Linked DNA regions of Ovis aries. The protein of the gene in region 2 interacts with the protein of the main gene of each other region in a pairwise test. Links are inferred from orthologs where the notes say so. Each region holds a gene or a part of one and is shown on either strand. Other genes may lie near its edges. The genes, in order: CSDC2 and PPP2R1A.

Region 1 (4,410 bases), on a different chromosome or scaffold from region 2:
CGGGGCCGGGGATCGACCCTGGTCAGGGGGCCAGAGCCCACATGCCAACACCAAGACTCAGCACGACTAAATAAATACACAGATATTTTAAAAATATGTTTTAAAAAGTCACTGCCCTTGTGCCAGAGAAGTTCTCTTCCTGCAGTTCTGACCACATCATTTGTCCATTGACTCCTACGTCACACAACTCACTGGCTCGCCCTCAGTGCCTCTTGCTAGCCTCTTTTATTAGGTATTTGTATCTTTCTGGTCTCCCTTAAGACTCTCTGCTCCTTTTTATTTTAATAAGACTTCTTTGGAAAATGCCAGGCTGCGTCAGCTGTACTAAAGATATATGAAGGACCGACTTTCTTCTTTCCTGAGGAGAAGGGATGGGTAGGGGAACGAGGAGCCAGTCTTTGGGGGGGGCCTCCTCCAGCCAGGCTTGTACACAAGCTGCCCTGGAGCCTCCAACAGCCCTCTCAGCAAGGGCCTCCTTCTCTGCTTTCCAGAGCTCATGGGGGACCAGAGTCGTGAGAAGCTTGCCCAGGTCACCCAGCTTGGAAGCGCTAGGGCGGAGACTCATACCCAGGCCTTCCCAGGCTGTGGAGTCTGTGTGTGTGTGTGTGTGTGTGTGTGTGTGTGTGTAGCTACCTTTCACTCCCTTAGGGGCCTCTTCAATTCAGTTCAATCCAGCAGAAACAGCTCAGGGTCTGCCACGGGCTAGACAGAGGAAGACATGAGTTCTTGCGACTAGACTTGCCCACATGGGTTCACTGAGGAGGAGCCCAGAGCCAAGGGAGGAGGGAGCAGTGGAGGGCAGGAGCCACTCTGCCGAGGGGACAGAAAGGAGAGGGAGGCTGGCGAGTCCCTGGGGCCCTGCTGCGGCCTCCACTCTTCCAGACTCACCGTCCACCCCACAGCCTCCTGGCAGACACACAGACAAACACACACACACACTCACCACCCTCCTTGCTCTCTAACTGCCAGGAATGCAGGCTGTCCCCAAGCTCTTCCCCCTTGCATTCCTCAGCAGCTACTCCCACCTGGCAGGGCAAATTATACCCTGGCCTGGCAATAAAAGCCACTTTCCAGAAAAAGAAGCTTCGGGGCCCCCGAGAGACGCAGCTCACTCTCTCACATCGCCCGTGTCTGACTCAGGGGCCCGGTGTCCCTTTAAGCAGGGAGTACAAATTCCCACCCCGGTCCCTCCCTCCTGCTCTTCCTGACGTCAGGAGGAAGGCGTGTGTGAGTGAGTGAGGGGCCTGAGGTGCCGCATGCTCACACACACACACACACACACACACACACACACACACACGGAGTCAGACACAGAGCACATCTCTCAGACCCATCCCTGCTCATCAGCTCCAAGCACGCCAGAGAGAGGCCGAGTCTGAACGGCTGCGGGAGGCTGTGTGGGACCTCGGCCGTCAGAGAGAGGTAAGGGGCTAGACCCTGGGGCCTCAGGCGCTCCGGCCCTGGAAACTGGCTCTAACGATGGGGGGGCAGAGGGAGGTGCAATGGCGGGGGTGGGGTGCTCTGGGAAGGTGGGCCCCCTCCCCTGGGGCTGGCCCAGCCCAGTCCAGTTTACAGAGGAGAGGCAGGCATGTGTGAGCGTGGAAGAGCCCACCCGGCCATCCCGCCCCCCTCCCTTGCTCTGCCTGGCCCCCAGGGGAAGCTGAGGCTGCATGGTTCCCTGTGAAAGGGCGTGGGTATGTGTGTGTGTGTGTCTGGGACTTATGTCTGGCTCAAGAGGCAGAGAACAGCAGACACCTGCCAAGCTGTAGCCGCAGCCTCCTGTCTGGGAACCAGAGGGGAGAGAAATGACTGGAGAATAATTGGGTTTCTACCAGACGCTGAAAGCAGAGTGCATCAGGGAGCGACATGGATCGTTCCCCCTGGAATTTGGGGCTGGGGCCAGGGAGGGACCGTCAGGGGTGGTGGTGGGGGGGCGGGGTGGCCAGCAGACAGTTGGACCTGGAGCAGCTGTCTCATCCTGACTCTGTTTCTTCCGCGATGTGTTGGGGATAATTGGGCTAATTGGCTTGGAGAGGTGGCTCCACGCTTTTATTTCCCCCTTGGCCTTGGAGCCACCCCTACCAGGAGCTTTTGCTTCTCCCAAGGCCACTCCTCTCCCCTGCAGGCTGGTCTCGAGCTGACCTCCACCCTTGCCAGGGCGCAGCCCCTGGAGGGCAGGGGTGATCAGCCAGGGTCCACTGGATCCTGTGCCGTGGGATTCATGTACTCAGGCAGCCTTGGGTAGTAGTGCCAAGTCCCCAAGTGGCCTGACCCTGGCACAAGGAGTCCAGGCAGAGATAAGGGGTGATGCTGGCACCCACAAGGGAGACAGCAGGTTCCTGCCAATCTGCCAGCCTGCAGACTCTTCCCAGGGAGAGGGGAGGGGGCCGCGGGGAGCGAGAACAATAATAAATACAGACTGTGAACTGCCTCATCCGCTGGGGTTGGGGGAGGGGAGGAGGAAGTGCACCCGGGTAGAGGGTGGGCCACCTTTCCGAGAGCTCCAGGGGAGGCCTCTCCCTGGGAAGGGACTGTCTGCAGCCCCCTGGGGGATGAAGCGCCTTTCCTGCAGGCCTGGCTCTGTCTCAGAAGCCTCTGAGTCCACCAAATTCTGGGTATCTCCTCCCCTCAGCGTTTCCTTGAAGTCTTTTCCAAAAACATCTATTTCCCATATCTGCCCCGCCCCTCTGGGTCTGTCTGACCCTCCTCCAAAAACAAACAACAAAAAGAAAAGACAGGTGTAAGTAGGAACCAGCTCACAAGGGCCTGGGAGAGGCCAGAGGACAATCTTGGCCACAGAGGTTTCTCCCAGGGATGGGCAGTGGTCACGGAAGTCCACTGGCCGTGGGGGGAGCCTCCCTAGGAGGAACTCGGGGGTCCCACACTGCTGGCTGGTGAGGGAGGGAAACCCGCAGGCTGGTCTGGAGGCAAGCCCCCAGGAGTGGCACCAGCAGAGGGCGCTCAGGGCCTGGCCGAGCTGATCATATTGGTCACAACTAGCACGGCCAGGATCTGAAGCCTGGTGGGAAGAGGGCTCGGGGCAATTCAGACCTTTGTCCACGCAGACTATTAGGATGGGAGACAAGAAGCAACGGGGCGGGTCTTCCCCCCTGCCCCAAGCCAGCAAAATGATGGGCACCAGGATAAGTGGCCTGGCATTTGAGTTCAAGCTCAGCCACTCTTAAGTGTGACTTTGACCCGTCCATTCCTCTTTCCAAGGAGGGCTCAGAGTGGGAAAGCAACTTGCCCACGGTCATACAGCCCGGCGGGGCTGGGATGTGAGGGCTCTCTCATGGTGCCCATCCTGGCATCCATACCCTCACTAATGCCCACAAAGCCCAAAGGCCTTGATCATAGGAGCCCTCCAGGGCAACCTGGGGACATGACAAGGAGGAGAGTTAAAGGGTCTCAATTAAGCTCGAGTATTGGCTGGGGCAGTGCCCCCCCCCCCGTGCCTGCCCCGTACACACACGCGCACACACACATGCACACACACACACACACGCTGTGGGAGAGGGAAAGAACCAGGTTTAATTAGGTCACCTCCAGCTGCTCCAGTAGCTTTGGCACTGACGTATTTTAAGGAGTGTCTGAGAGGCTGGGAGAGGGCAGGGGCACTGGGGAAGAGCCAGCTTCTGCCTGGTGGGCTTGAGGCTGTCTCCTCGCCTTCCTCAGGCCCACCCTGGGTAAGCCCTCAAAGTCCGGAAAGCCCTTCTGCCATCACCCCGTGTTCCCTGTCCTTCCCCCTAAGCCATCAGACTCACGCCTCCCACTGTCTGTCCCTTCTCAGTGGGGGCTTGGGCTGGGATGCTTTTATGGAGGGTGTTGTTTTTAAGCTTGCCGTAGTCGGCAAGTGACTCACCCAAGGTCACGGTCTGAGTCAGCACAAAGCCAGGAATAGAACCCCAAGCCCCGCTCTTCCTTCTGCAGGGGCGGCGGGAGCTTGCAGGGACGCGCAGGTCCTCCCTCCCTCCCTCCTGCCTGAGGCCTCTGTCCCAGCCCCCCCAACCAGGATGCTAAAGTGCAGGCCCCAACTGGCTGTGTGACCCCAGCAAGACTCTTCACCTCTCTGGGCCTCAGTTTACTCCTCTGAAGAATGGGGTTATAATGATAATTACCTTGTAGGGCTGTTGTGAGGAATAAATGAGGAAAGGGGGCAAAGGGCTTGCACACCTCTTGGCACGTGGTTACTAATCCATCGATGGTGGCCATGATCTTGTTGTGACCAGCCACCCTGTGTTCTTCTTGTCTGTCTGTTCCCCCCGGACCTGGGCTCTCTCAAGGCAGGGCTGTCTCTTCTGTTTGTTGTCCCAGTGCCTGGCAGTCACACTCAGTTACGCGTGTTTTTGACAACCTCAGAGGAGAGGTGGAGTGACCCTCATGCGTCATCAGGATCAATGATGATTCATG
Region 2 (3,642 bases):
GAATGTGCTACGTGAAAAGAAAACCCTACATCTAGCGCACAGCCCTCTCTTTTTCTCTGCGAGTTTATGGGTTCTCGTGTGGCCTGGTACCTGGGGCTGCTCTGCAGGCGGGAGCAAGTGTGACTGAGTCCCCACCTGCGTCAGTCCTTCACCTCCTGAGTCTCCCTCTCCCCTCCTCCTCCCACAGTCTATGCCATCCGCGAGGCGGCCACCAGCAACCTGAAGAAGCTGGTGGAGAAGTTCGGGAAGGAGTGGGCCCACGCAACTATCATCCCCAAGGTCTTGGCCATGTCTGGGGACCCCAACTACCTGCACCGCATGACCACACTCTTCTGTATCAATGTGAGCGCCCACCGGCCCCCACCTCTCCCTGGGGGAGGGGAAGTAGACGGGAGAGGAGGAATGGAGAAGGTCCTCGGGGGAAAGCTGGCTTGGGAGTAGGAAAGTGATGGGATCTGGGGCCGTAGGGGTTAGTCCTTGGGGAACTGCAGGCTGGAACTTGGGGCTCCCTGGTCAGAGTATAGGGCCTTTGCAGGTGGGGACCTGCGTGGGGGTGACTGGGGAAATTTGGCCAACAGAACAGTGATGGCCAGGTCTGTCTGAGCACCCCCTCCTTCCTCACAAAATAAGTGATATTTATGATACAACGGTTAAAGCACAGTTTCTAGAATCAGACCTACTGTTTAATTCTAGCTCTGCCACATATTGACTGTGCACCTTGAGAAAATTACTTAGTGCCTCAGTTTTCTCACCTGTAAAGGGTTCATACCAACAATCACAGCCCCAGACTCCCGAGGCTGTGACATTGATCTGGTTATACAGCTTAGAACAGTGGTTCATATGTAATGTATGGTGTGTATGTAATATGCATATGTATAGTGTGTATGTAATACATAACGTATGGGGTGTGTGTGTGTGACACGTAACGTATGCTGTGTGTATATATGGTGTGTGTGTGATATGTATGCTGTGTGTGTGTGGTATGTAATGTATGGTGTGTATGTGATGCATATGTATGCTGTGTGTGTGATATGTATGCTGTGTGTGTGATATGTATGCTGTGTGTGTGATATGTAAATGTGTGATAAATAAATACAGTAGAAAGTACTGATAGATAAATACAGTAGAAAGTACTTGTATGTAGTCACGTAAATAAACCATACACTTAAATAAACTTAAAACCACTTAAACCACATAACTACAAATTAAAGAATGAGATTTAAAAGTTAGCATAAAATTGTTCCGGTAATCCCTTCCTGTGCATCACTCTGGAGACCACAGCACTAAGGAAGGGATCCCAGGGTCAGGAATCCAGTCCCATCCCCAGAGGATGAGGGAGACTCTGAGGAAGGGAGCTGGGGTGGGACAGTGTGGGCTGGGGGTTTTCAGGGCAGGGAGATGGTGGAGTGAAGAGGGTGTTAGGGAACCTGGGAACTTGTGGAGAATCAAGGCCCTCAGGCTGGGCGAGTCTGAGCTCAGAGTCCCCCTGATGCTCAGCTAGTTTTATCCCCAAGCCCGATGGCCACTAAGTGTCCCGGTCAGAGGGAGCGAGGACTCTGGGGAGTCACCCTCTGCTGCTCCCTGGCCTGCAGGTGCTGTCCGAGGTCTGCGGGCAGGACATCACCACCAAGCACATGTTGCCCACCGTGCTGCGCATGGCCGGGGACCCTGTCGCCAATGTCCGCTTCAACGTGGCCAAGTCCCTGCAGAAGATCGGGCCCATCCTGGACAACAGGTGAGGCCTGCCCCTCCTCCACACACGATTGCATTTGTATCAACTTCAAAAATGGATCAAGGGGGACGCAGGCGATGGAAGTGAGAATGGTGGTTATTTTGGGGGAAGGGCCTTGGGACGCCTGCACCTGTCTGTCCAGGACACAGCTTCACCCCTTAGCTTCTCTCTGAAGACCGCCTTCGTCCCCCAAACAGCTGACTGCCGCTGCAGAAGCATTTCCCTCGGCCCTTACCTCCCTGGGCCCCTGTAGGGCCGAGTCCCTCCCTCAGGTGCTCGCCTCTCCTGTTACTTGTCAGCAATTTGATCTGCCTTCTCCCAGTCTGGGCTCCGTGTGGGTGAGAGTCAGGAGGGTTGGGTTTTCCACTGTGTCCACACCTGATGGGCAGTAGGCCTCGGTATATAATGTTACACAAATACAAGGCGTCACGTGGCCGAGGCTCAGAGACTTGAGGGTTCTGGGTTTTCTGCCCCACCTTTCCACACCACCTCACCTCCCTATACCTATTCTGGGCCCCCGAGGCCTCTGTCCTGGTTTGTGAGACTTTCAGCCTTCCAAGTACTGGTTGCTCTGGCCCTGAGAGCTCTCGTGCACCTGTGTGTCTGCGTCTGTGCAGACACCCAGCAGCCCCACCTTTCTGACCCCTCGCCTTTCCCCTCTCTTCCCAGCACGCTGCAGAGTGAGGTCAAGCCCGTCCTCGAGAAGCTGACCCAGGACCAGGACGTGGACGTCAAGTACTTTGCCCAGGAGGCTCTGACTGGTGAGGCGTCAGGAATCCGAGACGCTGGCAGGAGCGGGTGGGGGTCTGCGAGGGCGATGCTTGGCCTGGGAGCGGCTGTGGGCAGCGGGCTGGCTGCCTTCTGACTCCCGTCTCTTCCTGTTCCCCCAGTTCTGTCTCTTGCCTGATGCTGGAAGAGGAGCCACCGCCAGCCTCCGGTGTCCGCCCTCCCCCTCCAGGCTCCTCCCTGGGGGGACAGTGGGGGCCTTTGGCTGTCACTCCCTGTGCATGGTCTGACCCCAGGTCCCTTCCCCGGCACGGTTCCTCCCTCAGCCTGGGACATCCACCCCCCCACGGGGCTGGGGGCGCACAAGGTGGGACAGAGCAGAGACCCTGGGAGGAAGGGGCCACTCCCGCCCTTTGGGGTGAGGCGGGAGCATCCCAGGTCGCCGGCTCCTGCTGCTGTATGGGGACCCCTCCCCCATCTCCACCTCCCTCCCTTCCTCTCGGTGGGTTTTTTGTGTCAATTGTGCTGTTTTTATTTTATTCCCTTGCCCCCCTTTTCACAGAGAAATAAAGGTCTAGAAATAGCTGGTCCTCTGGTCTTAGTCACTAGATGGAGAAGGGGGCACCACCTCAGGGCCCCAGCCTTGCGCTTCTGTCTGGCGAGGACTGACTGGACTTGCCGCATCCCTGTCCTTGCGAGTGAGGAGGATTCCCTGGGAAGCCGATGGGAGTGCCCCTGGCCCCAGGGGCCAGCGGAGTCCTGAGGTGCACTTAGGTTTCACAGAGGCTGGCTGAGTGTGTGGTGGTTAGAGCAGGTGCCTTGGTGCCAGACTGCCTGCGTCCAGATCCTTGTCCTTCCATTAATAGCTGTGTGGCCTTGAGTAGGTGCCCAGTCTCAGATTGCAGGACTGTAAAATGGGGTAACAGACTCTAGATTGAGCGGGGCAGGAATGAAGACTAAACGAGGTAATACACACAGCGTGGGCAGTGATTGACGCGTGAGAAGAGTGGGCCAGGAGCTCTCAGGATCATCAGGGCCGCGGCAGAGCAGGCTGGGGACTGTGGCTAGACAGAACCACTGGTTCTCTCTCAGTGTCTTTTCTTCTGTTTCTTTAGTACTGATTAGACACCTGTATTTTCAGTTGGGCACATGGCTGCCTGGATTCAAGGCATTTTCACAGGGTC

The links.
Region 1: the proteins of PPP2R1A (region 2) and CSDC2 interact in binary tests that used the Homo sapiens proteins (3 or more experiments, as listed by UniProt). The two-hybrid records come from large-scale screens. The link is inferred for Ovis aries from reciprocal best matches to the Homo sapiens genes PPP2R1A and CSDC2.

Annotation. Positions count from the first base shown.
Region 1 is NC_056056.1:218,462,642-218,467,051, forward strand, and holds the start of CSDC2 (cold shock domain-containing protein C2), read left to right. Parts: upstream 1-1,326; 5' UTR 1,327-1,422; intron 1,423-4,410.
Region 2 is NC_056067.1:58,174,738-58,178,379, forward strand, and holds the end of PPP2R1A (serine/threonine-protein phosphatase 2A 65 kDa regulatory subunit A alpha isoform), read left to right. Parts: intron 1-187; coding exon 188-342; intron 343-1,592; coding exon 1,593-1,735; intron 1,736-2,401; coding exon 2,402-2,493; intron 2,494-2,622; coding exon 2,623-2,639; 3' UTR 2,640-3,041; downstream 3,042-3,642. UniProt on the Homo sapiens protein: The PR65 subunit of protein phosphatase 2A serves as a scaffolding molecule to coordinate the assembly of the catalytic subunit and a variable regulatory B subunit.